Linked DNA regions of Lepisosteus oculatus. The protein of the gene in region 1 interacts with the protein of each later gene in a biochemical or structural test. Links are inferred from orthologs where the notes say so. Each region holds a gene or a part of one and is shown on either strand. Other genes may lie near its edges.

Region 1 (9,217 bases):
CTTTTTTTCTCAAGGCAATTTGAACGAACTTGTCCAGCATGGTCTCCGTGCTTTAAGAGAAACCCTCCCTGCTGAGCAGGACCTTACTACAAAGGTAAGTAATTCGTGCAGCGTCTGATGCAAAGAAAACCCGGTGATTTGTCTTATAACAATTTCATCATTGACAAGCAAGCAGTAAATATGAAAGATGTTTAGATGTAATGTGGTATGTAATGATTTTACACTGACAGAGATTTATATTCTGTATGACTGTGCACTGCTTAGCTCCATTTGTTTCACATTTTCATGCTTAATTGATTTGATACACGAATCCAAAAACAGGCTATGAAAGTGATTATTAATGTTGTTTTGAATTGTAAAAATTTAAAAATGTATTTAAGCTTAAATATGGGGGACATTGAATGTATTTAGTGTTTGATTTAATATTCAGTAATGATTAACTTTACTATTTATTATGACATATTTAATATTCAGAAAAATACTTTAAAGGGTAACATTCTTGGCCTTCACAGAATGTCTCCATTGGAATTGTTGGCAAAGACCTGGAGTTTACTATCTATGATGATGACGAAGTTGCACCGTTCCTCGAAGGCCTTGAAGAGAGACCCCAGAGAAAGGTAGATATATTTAACCGTACAGTTCTTTCACAACTTCCTCTTGCTGAAAATGTCTCCTGTGCTTTCCATAAGCACAATGTTCTGCTCCATATGTATTCAGTATACAATTGGCTAAGGTTTTTTTTGCCAAGTTATATAATATATTTTTATAAAATGAGTAGCTTTCTTTTTATTTATATAAATTAAAAGAGAATTAAGGGACAATTAGGGTGATTGTTTCCCTCAAGGTGAATAAGAAGAATTATTACACTTTCCAAAATGTATAGGATTTATACAACAATGCAGCAAATTATACTGTAAGGCCTTCGCTTGCTTTACATATCCTTCTGTTGAATTTTTCACAGTAATTTTTCATGCTCAGTATATTTAACTGTATACTTAAGGCAAGATTTTTGTTTTAGAAAAAATAATGATGTTTCTTTATTAAAGTTGGGATTTCTTTACTGAAGCCTGCTCCTGTTTTGATTTCTAGGTTGCACAGCCGCCTGAAGAGCCAGCAGGAGGAAAAGCTGATGAGCCCATGGAGCACTGATGTTGGTCCTGGCTGCCAAAGATTTACACTGCTGATTAAAAAGTTCACAATCTGTAACATACCTGCTGTCAGTCTATGACCATGCATTCACAAAGTAAATGTCAACATGGAGCCCATTTTGGCCTAAGAAGATCTTAGAAAGCCACCTACCACAATATTAGCTTTTTTGTTTTCTACAAAGACTAGTTATATTATGCTTTTCTATATGAACCAACCTCAGATTGAAGTTTCAGAATAAAATCTTGTTTTCCCTATGTGTTTCAGGTCGTAGCTTTTTTAAAAAACAAAACAACAGAAATGTTAAGTAACAACTGCTTCCAATAAAAAATAAAAAAGAATTTGTAGTACCTTGTTAACCATGTACTTTATAAGGTTGCAGTCTAAAGCACTCTTCAGAAAACACACTTGCTAAATGTAAGGATCCTGTGAGATAGAAAAGGTTTGCGCTCCATTAAAAAATAGAGGGTCTTGAAGGTGAACCCGAAGTTCCAGGACTGCATGTTTGTTTTCATAGTTAAGTTTGTTTTTCATAGTGAGTTAAATCAGCTGGTACAGTGTAAGATGGGTGCTGAATTTCCTTTATGTATAAGTAAAGGGTAATCATTTGGTACCAATTAATCATGAACCAGGCCCGAGTTTCAGTTATATGTTGTTTTCAGAGGTGGTGTCCAAGGTACGCTTATTTGCCAATTTTATTGTGTCATTTTTTCTGTCTGCTTAAGTCAAAATATCAGGTAGCAATATGCTCTCTTGGCATCTTCTAACGTTCTCTGAAAAAAATGGGCTTGCTAGACATACATAACATGATGTTAATTGATTATTGTACGCACACCTCTTGAAATACTACTAATAATCCCACTTTCAGTTCAATATGGATAAAGGTGATGGTGCTGTTTAAGTCACCCCATTGAATTGTTAGTTTTGTTTAGATAGAGGATTTCTTGTGGATAGAAAGGTTATCTGCAGGTATTTTAACACCCTTTTAAGTTCTATGTTTAATTGTTATAAAGTTTGTTGTATTAGGAAAGAAATGAGCATATTTTAGTTTTCATGGTGATAAAACGGTACCCATTGGAAGTAAAAAAAAAAACCCTGAAATATTGAAAATGTGACCGGATTATGAAATACCAGGTGTATTTTCTGCTATAATTTTTCCAGACGGGGTCATCAAATGCTGTGCAACAATGTCCTGTGTCAGGCGAAGCAGACCTTTGATATTGATTTGAGTCAAGGTTCCTGCAGTATGAAGGACACCGCTGAAGGAAGAGGTGTAATAGTATATCCCAGGGGTGACCTCAAACCTGCAGATAGTTTATTTTCTAGTTTCACAAAAAGGGCTGGCACCGCAAGAAGAGGTCATGTTACAGAAGAAGCAGTAAGGTGTTCTCCCCGTTAGTCATTATCCCCAGGTCACAACAACTTCTGGTGAGGTCAGCATTTTTTTAGGTATATAGAATATTGTAGAAATGTTCTCTCATCATTCCAATGAGATGAGTTCTGTTGTTACTCCTGTCATTGTCTCTGTCCCTCACTCCTTACTGATCATGCACGCTATTCTTTTTCATTCACATTTGAGCATGATGCGTGGAAAGTTAAGGAAACTGACGCAGATGAATTTCAGATCATTAAAAGATATATCTTCATTGGCATGTTTATTGTGAAATCATAGTCCCTGTTGGGCTTCAGTAAATATTTACTTACAACAAAAATAATATTCCTTGGCTCACATAACAATCAGCTAAATGTAAGCCAGCAATAGTGCCTGGGATCTTGTTCTGTTAAGGGATAACAAGGATAGCAGAATGTCCATGGCTTCTGTGCTGATTGATTTAAGAATACATATGAACAAGCATTAGCAACACAGGGTACAACACAAAGCATATGATATGATATACTGTAGAACTAGTTCATTTATAGAAATGAAGAGAACAGAGGAAGGGTGAATGTTCTGGTGATGTACTTAATGGAGTACCACAGAGATCTGTATTAGGACCACTACTCTTCCTAATTTATATCAATGGTATAGTTAGTAAACAGAATGTTAGTATATACTGTATATACTGAACATTCAAATAAACAGTAGTTATAACGGCTAGTTTAATGGAGTCTTACCCTCGATACTGTATATGGGGCATAATTGTTATTTACTTGAATTTCACCAGGCTTTAATCAGTGGAAACACATTCTATTTTTAAAAAAATACATGCTCAAATGGAGTGATATGTTTTGATGCTCAGTATAAATAAATGTAAAATTGTGATCAATAGGCTCCTTCAACTAGAAGACTGTTATGAGAATACTGTACACAACCTTTATCACTATGTTAAAATGAAAACATTATGTTAGAATAGCATCAGTCCAGAGAAGAAAGAAACTGAATCTTCATAGTCTTGTATTGAAGAGTATAATGGGAATTGATTCAAATATTAAAACATATCAAATCATAAAATCAAACCAATAGACTTTTTCAGAATCAGTAAACAAATATGAACATGAAACACAAACATGAGATTGAGAATGTGTTATGTTGGGGTTTTTTTTCACATTAGGGTTGTTGGGATTTGGACTAGGTGTTGTTGGAGCTGAACTAAACTTTCAACAAATGGCTGGATGAAATCCTCTTAGCTCAGGTTGCTAAGTTAAGCAACCACAATCTAGACAAACCAAATAGCATCCTCTTCCTCTTTTGTAACGTTTCTTTTGCTCTTCTCAGAAAAGCCAGATAAAAATAATGATACCAATACTAATGCTGTTGACGTAGGAAAAAAAAGTCTGTTTTATGCTAATAAAGTACAGACAATCTATGATCTGGTCACACCCTCAGGGGACATTACTGACAAAGGGAGAGAGATGGTTGTGGGGTATCAGGAAAAGGTAGACATGACCACAATGATAAATGCCTGCACTTATGTAGAATGACCTGGGTTATGTGGAGGTTCTTGGTTAACCTATGTCACTGGCCAGAGGCTTGGTGGACAATTGTGGACATTGAATCCTCCCATTTAAACCCATTTGACAGACAGTTCTGATCATGACATAAATCCCTAAAACAGAATGAAATGCACTTTTGAGTTCTAATAGGGGGAGGTGTTTGTGATAATGAAGCAACGAGTGGATATTTACAAAAATATTTAAAATTAGAAAAAATTATCATTATTGAAACAAAGTTTTATTTTTATTAAGGAACATATATAGTGTTGCACTGGTGTTTATTTTTTCTGTTTTTGAACATATTTTAATAGGCGATTTGCAAAGAACATTTAAACTTCATCGTAAAAATTATAATCTGAATTAACATCGATCAAATCGTTTTTTCAATGTATTTTAATGATTCGGTCATATCTATAAACAAGAAATGTTTAAATAGATTAGTAGGATTTAACTACTAATCTATTTAAGCATTTCTTATTTATAGATATGATCGAATCAATAAAATAAAATTGAAAAACTGATTTACCTATACTCTGTTTCTATCTATACACTAAATGTTGGTGACGTTAAAAGTTCACATTTGTACGCATGCAGGCAGAAACGAGTTTCTGTTCCCTCTCGCCTTAGTTTAAGCAAGTTTGTCCCTCTTAGCTTCCTGTAGTATTGATGTGGCTCAGACCTCCTAGTTCCACGTCACTTGGATGTTGTAGCGTAGTGCAGCTGGGGAGAGGTTAACACAGTGAATAAAAAGGTAAAGAAACTTTCATTTTAATTGTGTAGATTTATGCGGTTTTGTATCATTTTACGGAAGTTTCTTCTATAAGAAATATTTACAATTGCATTGTAATTTTCAAAAGGTTCTTCCTTTTTGTAAATTGAAGCTCCACATCTCGCAGGTTATTTTAGCTGAAGTTCCAGCAAGGCACCACTACAGAGAGCATTAACAAGGAAGACATTTGTCAAGCCGGAGTTGGATGACCCATGATAAATCGGTTATGGCTGTTGATTTGAACGTTATGCACAAACTTGCTACTGTGGTGGTTTTGCCTCCACAATACCGATTTCTGATGTAGCTTGTGGGATTTTGTGTAGTTGAGCCGGTCACTTCCTGAGGCCTATCTTTTAGGCCAAACCTCTTGATTGTGCAGAAGAACGAGCTCGGTGCAGTTTACTATAAAATTATGTGATCACACCTGCACAGAATAGTCAACTGATATGGTCAATAAATTAGTGGCTTTCCACATGCTTTTATTGTATTGTAGTTTACACCAAGGGAACAATCGTTAAAATATCGTTGTGTAACGTCAGACTTGGGTAGACAAGTTATGGCCCTAATACAAAATGTTTACGTTTATTGTAATATCTTAAAAGGATATAGTTTCATTTTTGCCTTATTACTTAGTATTTGTTCTTAAATGTTGTTTTCACCTGCCCTTTATATGGTGGTGTTAATTGTATTTATTCTCATTACGGAGAAGAACCTAAAAGATGATAAAATAGTGCTTCATGATAAGTTACTGTTGGTTCCCAGCAAGTTTCTTATTAATATATGAACGTTATGCTGTAAGTTTTACTTGAATTATGTTTTTGTCATCAGGTTGCAAAACGTAAAATAAAATAATAGAAGTGGTGTTTACAGGTGTTCTAATTTACGGAGGCCACTTATACATGTGTATTTAAATGCGAACGTCCTGTGAGCAGTAAGTGTAATTATGTCTCTATGAACAGCACGGATTTGACGTGCCAGCGTGGAGCAGGATATTCTTGGTGCTGTACAGGGAAGAGGTCAGGGTGTCTGCAGGTGTTCTAGGTCTCTTTAAAGCAGCAGCACCTGAAGATCTAAGATAACGTAATAAATTGGTCCAATTAGCCCAGTGATGATCTGACAGGACATTAAGAGCTACATTGAAATTAAATCCTCTAGGACCAGGATTGGACAGCCCAATTCTAAATGATTTGGTCATTTGTGACAGCTGCTTTGTTGATTTTAATGCCATTTCACGTCGATAAATAATGTATAATATGGCAAAGTTACTCGCGTTTTGCACAGCAGTCACTTGCGATCAATTTTATCTTAAAAAAATGCATGTTCTTGTTCTTTGTTACAGGGTCTGATCAACATCAAGTTTCTCCTGGTGTTTTTCGTTCAGAAAATTAGACAGCCGGCATCATGACCGCCGCGGAGAATGTGTGTTACACTCTCATAAATGTTCCGATGGACTCGGAACCGCCATCAGAACTAAGTTTGAAAACAGACCTCGGTGAGTGTTAAATGCAAACAACTGCAAGGGAAGCTAGAAGGAAGAACTTGCTGTAGATTTACACCAGGTTTGTTGAATGGTTAACACATGGTTAAAAAAATAAAAGTGTTTCTTTCTTTGATGTTTTGCCACTCACGATTAAAGCATTTTTGGGGGGTAGTTTTCCTGTTTTCTAAAGGGGATAGGATTGAGTGATCTTTGTGTGAATGTGATTATGCACGTGTTCATTTTCAGTCTTGTGGTGCTGTTCACTTTTAGAAAAGGGGGATATCAAGGCCAAAACGGAGGCCTTGAAGAAGGTGATCATCATGATTCTCAATGGGGAGAAGCTGCCTGGCCTGCTGATGACCATCATTCGCTTTGTACTGCCTCTTCAAGATCACACCATTAAAAAGCTGCTCCTTGTCTTCTGGGAGATTGTTCCCAAGACCACTCCAGATGGGAAGCTGTTGCAAGAGATGATCTTGGTCTGTGATGCCTACAGAAAGGTACTTGTCCGGCTCACTAGTGTGTCATGTTCTGAATTTGTGCCTTTTGACAGTGTTGTCTGAAAGTGTTTGCTTTGGAAGACCGGTCACGTATGTTGTGAAAAGATTTTTTCATGTCTCCTGTCCTGATCTTCCCTACAAAGATGGGCAGAGGAGAATACATTTCCATTGCACCAAGTCTTAAAAACTCAGAACATTTTGATATTTTTCTTTTAGTCTGGTTAAGGGCACTTGTTTCCTGCCCTCATGTGCCATTTTTCTGTTCTGTGTTCTGTACTGTGTTGGTTAGTTTTTGCCAGGTCATGTGCTTGCTTTGACTCTAAGAATAAGACGTCAAATATACATTAGATGTACTTCACTTGGTTTTGTGGGTTTACTGCAAGATTTTAACATCTGCAGTTTTCATATGTTTCATATTTATAATCATATTGCTGGCCGTGTTAAGGTCTCGCTTCTATAAACAACAAGAGTGCTTCTTCACGTTGCACAGCTGTGGCTTTTTCTCTCCACTTTTCAAGTGTTGGTGAGTGAGCACTTACCACTTATCTTTCTCGTAAAAAAAGTCAGAAATACTTGAACAGCCAAGAGAGCCAAGAGCGTTTCCCCAATATTAATACTCTTAGGTATTTTCCAAAAGCCATGAAAGTTGTAGGAATTGGAAAATGGGGAACAGTGTTTGTTTTGATCGAGACCCACTTCTATAATCATCAATAGGAATTTTCAGTGCACCTCTTATATTTGAATTGGATTTTTCTTTTCACTTCTAAGCAAAAGACATTATGATGAAGAGTGGGTAAAATAATAGAATAAGGATTTAAAAGCTGTCATGGCTGTTGAGCTCAAAGCTTGTTTGAACGCTTCTTCTTTTACAGCTTTGCACTTAAGAAATTATCACCAGGACCATGCAGGAGGAATGAAATCTGATCCAGCCACCCGTTTCTCGTGACTCCATATTTGCCACAGAAAACTATTCTCACAGTGTGCTTCTTGCCACTTTGATGGGGGAAAAACACCTGATCATGAAGCAAAATAGGAGGCAATTGTTGACCTAAACTGTACTGTTTAATAATCGCCAGAAATCTGTTGTTGCTTAAGCCTGAATGCAGGTTTAACTCAGTCACCCACTTCAGCATTGCGACCTGGCCTAAATTGCCTTCGGCTTTGGAGTCACTGATCTGCCCTTGTGTCTGCTGGGGTGAGGATAGTTTGTGGTTATTCATTTCTGTTGCATTAACAGGACCTACAGCATCCTAATGAATTCATTCGGGGTTCCACCTTGCGGTTCCTGTGCAAGCTGAAAGAGTCTGAGCTGCTGGAGCCCTTGATGCCAGCGATCCGTGCCTGCCTGGAGCACCGACACAGCTATGTGCGGCGAAATGCTGTCTTGGCCATTTACACCATTTATAGGTGAGTTTGGGAGCAATGAAGGGACTACACCTCTTTATGCACAATACACAGTGTATAAGGACAGATTTTTAGAAGCCGATGTTGTAAAAGAAAACAGGTAGCTGGGTCTTTGTTCCTTAATGAAATGGAACTTCTGAATAACTTTTAATGAAAAGGGTGCCATTAATGTTAACTTTCTATTCCTATAGGAATTTTGAGAATTTAATTCCTGATGCGCCTGAGCTGATCCATGATTTTCTGGTAAATGAGAAGGATGCTAGCTGCAAGAGAAATGCTTTCATGATGCTGATTCATGCTGACCAGGTACAGTTCCATGTTTTATTATGTAAGTCGTGTAAAACTACAGTTTTTAATATTCTGTTCCTCTGCTAACCCCTTCATTTTTAAAATTTTGATATGAATGTGAAAAGACCGTGAATAATGCAGAATAGTGAAGAAGTACTCTGATTTTTATAATGTTCATTTCTAGATTTCTTTACTAAGAAAGATCTGTTGATTTTCTTTGACTTTTTTTCTCTAATATTTCACCTACAGGACAGGGCTTTGGATTATTTAAGTACCTGCATTGACCAGGTTCATACTTTTGGAGACATTCTTCAGCTGGTTATCGTGGAGCTCATTTACAAGGTAAGAGCGTGAGAACTGATCAGACAACAGTGATTTTTTTTTAAATAAAAATGCAGTTGCTTTAACTTAATTCACTAAAATCAGAATTTCATTTGCTCATCTATTTACTGTTTCATAATTGAAAATGATTTTATTTTGGTTAGCCTTCTTTCTGTGTGCAGTTAGTGGAATTTGAATTAATTACTGTGTCATAATTAAGAACTACAAACCTGGCACTACGCGTTTCTTGCCAAAGATGTGTCTTTCATGGAACTCTTTGTTTTGTGTTTTGTCCATACAGGTGTGCCATGCAAACCCTTCAGAACGAGCGCGATTCATCCGCTGTATTTATAACCTCCTGCAGTCTTCCAGTCC
Region 2 (9,680 bases), on another chromosome or scaffold:
ACCAGATCAAGGTCTCTCCAGCACTGCGGTACAAGTGTTCAGCACCACAGCTGTGAAATGCTGCTCGGATGCACTACATTTGCATGGCACCTAAAATACTTTGCATATCCGCTCAGTGGTGATCTTGACTGTTCTGACAAGTGTTTAAGATTAACCCGAAGAAAATGCAGTAGAGATATGAGATCCAAGAGAGACATAACATTGCACAATATGGAGGTGAATTGGTTCATGAAAGCGAAACAGAGTTCTGCTTCATTCAATATGACGTTTTTTTTACATTCCTGCTCTCTATGGCTTTGTTAATCTTCTCATTAAGTAAATTGGACCAACTGAACATTTTTCAAAGATCTTCAGCTGTCGACGATTTAACGAGCCCTAAAAAAACCTTCTGGATTCTAGTCTTTAGGTATAGGAGATGTGCTCCTTTCTAAGCGTTGTGTTCTACGTGTTCTCTCTCTATGCCAGGAGCTGGTCTGACTGCTGTCAAGAATGGGTTTAAAAATGTCACGTATGCTTCCTTGGAACCACATGTGTGTTCTCATGACTTCCAAGTAATCCTCTCAATCCGTATTAGGACGTGCCATTTACGTAAAAGACTGCAGATTTACTTTCGGCACATATGGTTACGAAATATACACATTTAATTTCAGCGCAATTTATTCACAGTTTTACATCACTAAATGTGATGTAATGTAATGTAATGTGATGAAATTAATGTGATCGCATGATTTATTAGACGTTTTCGGTTTATTTCTTTCTTTTACCTACAGATATAAAGCCCAGTTATCAGCACCATAAACCAAATGGTGCATACTCCATACTTTACACTCATAACAATCATTCAACTGAGTCATCTCTAATTGAACTTTTACAGTGTTATGAACAGGTCCTCTGTCTTCTTAAGAATTTATTATTGTATTCCCCCCACTTTGAAAGTTCTTGTTCATTTCAGCCGCCTACCAACATACAGGTTTTCTCGGTTTTAACCAATGGCAGCGCTCAGACACACAGATTGACATTTACAACAGCCAATCGCAGCTCTCCGAATTCAGCTCCAGGAACTTCAGGTTTCCGCGTGTCTACCGTAAACCCACCTGGGCGCCGGGCTCGCGTGACATCCCTGTCCCTTCGACACCGTCAGCGTGGGAGAGAGAGGAGATCGGCTGTGCCGTGAAGGTTGTCCCGCTCTGTACGCGCTGAACAGGAAACTGCAGCAATCCCGGCTACAACGCGCCAAGCTGTCAGAGAGGACAAGAGCGAAGCGCTAAATGAAAAATATTCCGTCCTCCTTCCCGTGTCCTCCAAAGAATGTCATTTCCGGGGGGGAAGGTCACGCATGCGTGTTGCGCCCAATGAAAGTGAGGACAAAATATTAGGAATAATTCCAATATTATAATAATAATAATAATTGCTTACACTTATATAGCGCTTTTCTGGACACTCCACTCAAAGCGCTTAACAGGTAATGGGGACTCCCCTTCACCACCACCAATAATATACTGTCGTTTTTATAGCTTTTTCATTATTCAATTATAGAGACGGATTTGGTCATTATAATAGGTTAGCGATTTCGCTTGAGTTACTTCTAAAAGTAACACATTAAATATTACACATTGGTGGTGGTGGAGGGGATCCCCATTACCTGAAAAGCGCTATATAAGTGTAAGCAATTATTAATTATTATATTCCTTTAAATTTTTGTGTTGTTCCTCTAGAGTGAAGAATTTATTATCACCGGCTTTTGTGGGTTTTTAGGAAACACTACTGTACATTTTGGAAAAGCGGTTACTTCACGCGCCCGTGGGGCATTAAGATTATACGCAGCTAAGTTCTTCATGGTTCAGTCTTCAGTCACTTTATTTTAAATATACTCTTCTGCGAATAGCAGGTACTCCTGCAAACCGTGCCGTACAGTCTGCGATGTCTGTGCTAGGTGCTGTTTTCCGTCTTTAAAAAGGTTAGAGAAAATCTGACATTTGTCTACCGTGAGACTGAGAGTATCGTTCCCCACCATCATGTTTAGTACAATATTTCACTTAAATGATGAAGCGTTAGGATAACAATGTTGGAATTCCACTGCAGCATTCAACTTTTAAGTTTTTGAATTTGTCAAACACCCTTTTTTTATTTCTGCTACAGACCCAAAAGAGGACAAACGCATTGGGATGTGCCTGGATTAACACGATTTGGAGTGTTATTGTATTGCACAATGTAACGTCCCATTTCAAGGCATTTTAAATCAGCTGTCAATCAGGTCAGCGAGCCCGCCTCCAGAATGACGGTGAGCAGACAGGCCCCGCCCCTCTGCGCGTCAGGTGCGCTGCGGCCGGCAAGATGGCAGCGGGTCCAGTTTCCGTTTATCTGGAATTTTACTAAATTGTTCGGTTTCAGTTTTGTTTTGGTATTACTATTTATTTTCCGCGCAGATAAAGCTAAAATATCAATTGTTTTATTTGACGTTATAATGCTGCTGTCTCCTCTCATTGTGCTGCCCCCCTCCCCCCACTGTAAAGCACTTTGAGAAGCCAATTTCAAAGGAGCTATATAAAAGTGTACTATCATTTAAACCTGGAAAGGCAACTTAAAGTACAGCACATAGGATTCTGCTTTGAGACTAGGGGAAGAAAATCAGCCGTGTTCGGTATTAGTCATAGATGACAAGTCATCTGAAATTTGTCAAGATATTAACTGCCAGTGTCTGTACATAAATGTACATTATCATTCAGATAAACTGGATATGACTAATAAATGTGTTCTATTAAATATTAAGACACACACTTGCCTATCAATTGTCTTTATTTTACTTTTAAAACTAAAGTGGCGATTTAACTTTATTTGTACACAGGCCTAAGGAGAATGATTTGTAGAAATTCGACATGCTGTTCATCTTTCTTCAGTTATGCAGCTCCAAGCCCTCAGTGTTCTTCTGCTGACCAGTCCCCAGTCTCAGCTCAGTTGCTGGGCAGGTCTTGTGCTGGTGAGGTATTCATTGCAGTTCAATACTGACCAGCATTTCCATCTGCAATCTGGCTCTCAAGTGGTGTAACTCGTGTTTAATTATAAAACAGTTAAAGTTCCCCACCCCACCCTTTTTCGTACAGATCGTTAGTGTTTTGCGTTTCTGTAATAAAAGGTGTTTGCTTGGTTTGGGAATTGTCTTTTATTTTTTTTATGTATATGATGTATAATGAGAATTTATTTGGCTAGAGAATCTATACTAGGAACTCAGAACAGCCAGTTGCTATAGTTACAAAGTTGTCTTCTAATAAGGACTTCAGCCTTGAAAAGGAGAACCCAATTTATTTATGTTTTTCTTAGAAACTGGTTGAGCTACTTCCGTTTTAAATTCATACACATTTTCCTGGTATTAGACGTGTGGGATTCACGTCTACCCATATATTAAAACTAACCCGTCTGCTCCAAAGGAGGAAATAAAAAAAAAAAACAGGCAAGGTATAAAGACTGACCACTGATCAAAGCAAGCTGGAGACACAGTTTGGGAGCTACAGTGATATGGCCTGTCTACAATGCAGCCATTTTGTCAGTCACAAGCACTGATAGACCCATGTAGCTCACCAAAGGATGTGCTCACTGTCTGTATCATAAATCAGATAAGTAGAAACCGTTCGTTCTGGACCATGTCTGGCCACCTATAAGTTTGGGGGAAATGCCTACAGAGACGTTGTACCAGTTCCGAAGTGAAGGGTCCTCAACGGTTTGTCTGTAATGGCACTGGTCTGCATGGTGCTCTTCAGGCTATCCGAACTGTATACGGCGCCCATCCGGCGAAGCTGCAACAGAAACGCAGAGCAGCGTCATGGTCACAGCTTGGTGCAACCAGATACTCGGTTTATTCCTCAAGAACCTTGCAGTTAGCAACGCAGTGTGAGCTCATAATTATACTCACTATCTCGGTTGTTATGAAGTCTTTCACCGTTGGAAAGGTTAGATTTAGAGACGCAAACTATACGACTCGACGCATGTGCAACAGAAATAAAAATGTCAACAATTTAGTCTTTGTTCTACGGCATGAATAAAAGGGGCTTGTTGTTTACATTGTCAAATTTAAAGCCCGCACCTCAAGTCCAGTCTTTAAATTTTAACATTCGTCAATTAGATCTGATCGCACCTTTATAGGTTTACGGCAGGCCTTTAAGGATATTAGCTCGGTTTTCAACTTGACGGTGCTTACTTTTCCCCCTCGACTTCACCTACGTAACTATCATGCCTTTAAACCAACAGTTAAGAACAGATGCATCGGTGGCTCTCCAAAGGAAGGTGCTTGGAAGTTTCCGCTTGTCTGGCATTTTGTGGTCTTGGTAAGATGGTTTTTGACATTAGAAGAGAGGACATCGGTGAAGACCCTCGCAATGGCTGGCAAAAAGAAAGACTGAAATCAATACAGACGTGCTCTTACTGCTGTTCGCGAGGTTTCACAAGATGCATGTGGCTTAAATGGGAATTTTAATCAGGGATGAATCATAAGATCTTAAATCAAACGTGATTCTGGCACATTTTGATTCACCGTGTGCCCGATTACAAACATCGGCACTGCCCTCTATCGGCAGGATTTTTAAAAAGTCATTCAGAGTGGTGGAAGCAAGGTCACTCGCGCAGCATAAGAAGAGTAATTCATATAATTATACCCGATACACAAGTTGTCCAAAAGAAGAAAATATTCGACGTCCCTCCTTGCCAGCACAAGGGGTTACTAAACATTGATCCAGTTATTCCTGGATCGGGAATACAGTGCCATTTACAAATCGGTCCTTACAGCTGCTCGGATCATGTAAACTTTTTCCAAAGCATGCAGGGAACCAGCTTTAGTAACATAGAGGGGTTGCATTAAATGCTTTGATTCCAAGCCGTGTTTAAAAATCCGTCCAGAATCATCGCATATGCGGCTTTGCGGAGATGTGCTTTAAAATTTCGTAGCAAGTAGTATTACTAGGTTAGGCTGGTGTTTAAGTTGTGGGTGTTGGCGGTTTCTTAAAGCTAGGGATTTCTGAAAAAAAAAAGGGTTGAACCCACCCCGCAGGGCTTACAAACGCTAACGGGAAAGATATGTTTAATTAGCAATTAAGCTACGCTACTGATGCTGATGTTGAATCTTCCACATGTTCGAATGCTACCTAACGCCGTGCACTTTGACCCCGTGACAAGCTGCTTCCGGTTGGAGACGTGGCTCTGTGCTGCCATATTGGAGCCGTAGGCTGGGAGACGCCAGTGGAAAGCAGCGGATCGACTCTTGAATATTTTGCAGAGAAAGCGTCTGGAAATTGGGAGGATCCCCCTATCATTAGGAACGTAATATCTTTTGCAAGCACAAGGAGCGAAAATGGTAAGCCTTGAAGTCTTCTAGTCGGTTACCGAACAGTGCGTTTTAACCGAAAGATGATCGAGACCAGTCCTTGTTCCGGCTTGGTCAGTGGACGAGAGTCGGAAAGGAAATATAAAGTCTTGATTGAGACAAGGACCGTTAACGGTCCGATTCGCAAGCTGTTAAGAGGTAGTTTTATTTTTATAAAGAGTTGTCGGACTTCGCGCAGACAGTATCATTAGCGGATAGAGGTTTATAGCGATCAAACCGCTGCTGTCGTAGGCCCCGCTGGAAATAATGCACTTGGCAGTGAATACAGTAGCTGCTGGCTCGGGTAAAATACCCATTTTTCCTCCCATCCAAGTCATGGTATAAAAAGAGACCTTAACTAGGTGAATGGAATAACTCTGTCCTTGTAGCGTAAAACACGGCTCGAGTGACGTGGCTGGCACGTTTAGTGGAGATCGGGAAGAATTTCAGCTTGGGTGTCTCATACAGCCATGCAATATGGTAAACACTAACAATCAATTATAGTGTGCCTTTTCGTAGACCTCGCCATGATCAAGCTAGCCGATTGCTTTAGGAAAATGCAAGCTTGCAGCATTTTTATTTACCGACATACTGAACACTAAAGAACCGTCGTTACAAAATAACGAAACCTGTCAAACAAGTTACTTTAAAAATCTGAATACAGCATTATAAAAACAAGCGACGGACCTCGTACCTACAGCGTTGGAGTAGCACCGACGTCCGAAGGCGATACGTACTTGAATGAACAACTTCATCAGCTCGGGTCTTGAAATAAATACTACTGCCCAGTTGGGGACTTGGACACCAGTACACGATCTCGTTGTATTCCAGAAAAGGAATCGCACAGATAGCTGTTGGTCTAAGACCAGGTGATTACGCGCAAGATCGCTTATCGGAGTGCTTCTTAAGCTGGTATTGATGGCGATAGTGTCGCCTTCTGATTTTTATAGCCGAGTATTTAATCGCAGGCTAAGTGTTTTCAGTTGGCTTTGAGGCGTTCTATAAAATGCTTTGGGTTCACAAAACTAATTAGTGTCGGCCGCGTACTAATTTTCGAGATTCACAACTCCCCTGATTCAGGTGTTAGCTGAATTTGTTTACAATTAAGCCACTGGAGGGGAGAGGCAGGAGACACTCTATGGAGTTTGACAATCACCCACAAGCCCTTTAGCCAGAATTAAGGGAGCCCGAGAAAAACTGCTTAAAGTTCTGCATGTTGAAGTGGTCAAAAAAACATGAAATGCAATGGTATGTCTGAAACCAAGGACGCTGATCAATTCAAGGCATCAGTTAGCACCAGGAATTTAAGAGAGCGGGTGAAACAAAAACTAGCAGAGTCCGTAGGCTGATGTACTGCTTTTCTGTTCCATCTCATATTTTGGAAATCACAGTACAGATTGAAACGGTTTATAAAACCGGAACACCTGTTTTACTGACCAGGTCACAAGGCGGTGAAATCTACACTGTTGCGTGTATGAACTGCATCCATCACAGTCTACTTCGCAGGTCCTTTAGGTGTTTTTCAGTGACTCTGTCTGTTCCCCAATATAAAACAGTTTACATGTCTAGGTTATAGGTGTAGTCACGGTAGACTAGACCTCACAGATGTTTACGTTTACCAGAAAAGCCCAACTATTTGTTGGTCATTTATAGATCTAGCGGTGCTACAATCTGACTATATTTAAGGTCTTTTCAAAATATTATGATCTGTGTAGCAAACTTTCTCCCTGATTCTTTCTATGTGTGATGGTTAAAATCAGGTCTCAGGTCAAATGTTATTGGTGATAATTAAGTGCTTCAAAGGAAGTATAATTAATTGCTTCTCAAGGAATAATCCTGTCTGCTGGTATTGATTTCAGCAACAGATCTCTCCAGGATTGCATTTCCTTTTCTTTTTAAAGTTCAGGTTGGTGAAACCTGCACACAAACTCCCAAAATGTATTCATCTGACAGTTTTAAGAAACACATCCGCAGGGCCAGTCATAGGACTACTTTCAAATAAGCAACAATATGTTTTGGAGTCTTGAGGTTGCTATTTGTGTGTGTGTGTTGTGTACTTTTTAAAGGGCAGGATGTAGGAAGGAGCAGGCCTTTTCCACAAAAAATGCATCATCACTTTTAAGTATTACGTGCTAATCAGGATGCTGTTTCAGAAACAGCTCATCTGATTCAGCTGTTGGATTGGTGTAAAATTTCACCATCCTTCCCCATGTGTTTGCTCAGCTTCCAGTACAAAAAGGGGAAAGTACTCTGATTATTTTCTCCGATGCAGGTTTATTCTACTTATCTAATTCTGCATTTTGCTCCTTGAACACCATGGTGAACACGTAACTGGAAAGTGACGTTGCCGTGCAGAAATGCTGTTTACCTTATGGATTTTGGGTTAAAGACAACAACAAATGCCTATAGGTTCTTTCTGTGCAAGTTAAGCCTGAGGACGATCGGGATGAATCCAGTGCTTGAAGGTGGCTGTCAGTTTGCCACGTGCCAGAAGACCATTGTGACCACTGTGCTGCCGTTGGCTTCAGTCTGACCCCCAGTTCTTAGAAGCATGAGAAAGTGTCCCATCTTCCTTCTGGTTACAGCAGACAAGTATATTGGTAGCACCTGGGAACGTTTGGCAGTGTTCATCCTTTGTGCACTTTGGGCATGATTTAAATTGGATCATTTCAGGTGTCTTGGTGTTCGAATCATCTGAGCTGTGAAAGGTGTATTCCTTTTAAATGTGTGGTTATGAGACCTTGGGTAAATGTAAGGTCCCTTTGCTGCCTTCTTAAATTAGATTATTTCAGTCCTCCGAAATTGGTTTTCGAATTATTAAACCACGAAAGAGATGTACAAGAAATGAAAGCTATTTATTTTTTTTGTTTGCTTTGTTCAACACAGGCCCCGGCCTTGTTGTATGAAAGCTGTGATTAGAATCCTCCGCGGTGCGGAGCTGGTTCTGTCTTTCCAAGATATGTTCTTTTAAAGGTCTGCTGCCTTCCTCTGTAAACAGCACCGTCGCCCTGCATTTCTTAACATTTTTCAGGATACAAAGTAAAAAAAAAACAGCATTTAAAATTAAAATAAAGTCTTTGTCCGTTTCCATGGCGAATTTGGATTTTATTACTTCACAGCAGTATGGTAGCAAAAATTGCCACGTGTTTTCTGAAATGAACGGCCCGCGCTACGGTTTATTCTGGACCTTCGGAACGGGAGAAGAATTGAGGACGCAGAAAACGGGCCAAGAACCTTCAGAACCTTTTGCCAAGCGTCTGTGCGTGTATTCCTGAGTGCTCATCGGTCCCTTGGAAGACTCCTGCTTGGCAAGGCGGAGAGAAGCACACAGAGTAAACCAAAATGAGGGGAAGAAAGAAAAGAATCCGAAATCCTCTCCCTGCCATTCCAGGTTAACGCGGTGTTTTTGTGTTTGATAACGGAAGAGCAGCTTTCCATCTTTGTAGGAGTCACCCTTCTCGTCTTAGCCATCTAAATGGGGAAAACGTTTCATGAGTACACGATTTAATTACCTGTCTTGTCAGTATTTTTAATATGGCTTGTAAGTTTAGGGGGAGGAAAATCTATCCTAAAGTTTAATTGCACAAGAGTGCAAAAAAACCTTTCTCCCGTCCCCAGAGTGAACAAAACCCGTCGGGCTTGTGAGACTGAACGTGCGAGAGGTCCCCACGCGTGTCGGTTTTCTTCACCGCGCTACAAATCTCTTGTTCCACCTGTGGGCCAGAGAGGGCGCTAACCTGGCTTCAGCACGGCTTGACAGCTGACACCCCCGTTTTCCCTTCTCTTCCCCGAGGTGCTGTTGGCAGCGGCAGTGTGCACCAAGGCGGGCAAGGCCATCGTGTCGCGCCAGTTTGTGGAAATGACCCGCACGCGCATCGAAGGCCTGCTGGCGGCCTTCCCCAAGCTCATGAACACGGGCAAGCAGCACACCTTCGTGGAGACGGAGAGCGTGCGCTACGTGTACCAGCCCCTGGAGAAGCTCTACATGGTGCTCATCACCACCAAGAACAGCAACATCCTGGAGGACCTGGAGACCCTGCGCCTCTTCTCCCGTGTGGTAAGACGCCCCCCCCTTCCTGCCTCGCCAGGCGTCAGGCCCGACGCAGAAAGTCATCCCTGGTCACGATAAGCCCGCTCATAACTTTCCTACAGGTTTGTTTTAGTCGTTTGGGCCACCACCTAGAGTGGGACAAACCCAGCCAGGTGAAGTCCATTTTCTACATGGGTCAGAATGTTTTTTGCTGGGTAGCAGTAGTTGTAGCCAGTAATCTGCCTTTCCTTACCCTTAAATGGGGAAGTGGCATCATTGAGACAAGTTCCAGTCCTCCGG

What was found.
Region 2: the proteins of copb1 (region 1) and arcn1a form a complex in vitro, tested with the Homo sapiens proteins (2 studies listed by BioGRID). The link is inferred for Lepisosteus oculatus from reciprocal best matches to the Homo sapiens genes COPB1 and ARCN1.

The regions. Positions count from the first base shown.
Region 1 is NC_090716.1:10,265,687-10,274,903, reverse strand, and holds the start of copb1 (coatomer subunit beta), read left to right. Parts: upstream 1-4,733; 5' UTR 4,734-4,831; intron 4,832-6,188; 5' UTR 6,189-6,250; coding exon 6,251-6,341; intron 6,342-6,599; coding exon 6,600-6,829; intron 6,830-8,066; coding exon 8,067-8,236; intron 8,237-8,424; coding exon 8,425-8,539; intron 8,540-8,770; coding exon 8,771-8,863; intron 8,864-9,143; coding exon 9,144-9,217. Other genes in the region: psma1 (proteasome subunit alpha type-1), read left to right, coding at 15-94, 513-617, 1,090-1,149. UniProt on the Homo sapiens protein: The coatomer is a cytosolic protein complex that binds to dilysine motifs and reversibly associates with Golgi non-clathrin-coated vesicles, which further mediate biosynthetic protein transport from the ER, via the Golgi up to the trans Golgi network.
Region 2 is NC_090718.1:11,591,431-11,601,110, forward strand, and holds the start of arcn1a (archain 1a), read left to right. Parts: upstream 1-5,166; 5' UTR 5,167-5,338; coding exon 5,339-5,341; intron 5,342-9,143; coding exon 9,144-9,407; intron 9,408-9,680. UniProt on the Homo sapiens protein: Component of the coatomer, a cytosolic protein complex that binds to dilysine motifs and reversibly associates with Golgi non-clathrin-coated vesicles, which further mediate biosynthetic protein transport from the ER, via the Golgi up to the trans Golgi network.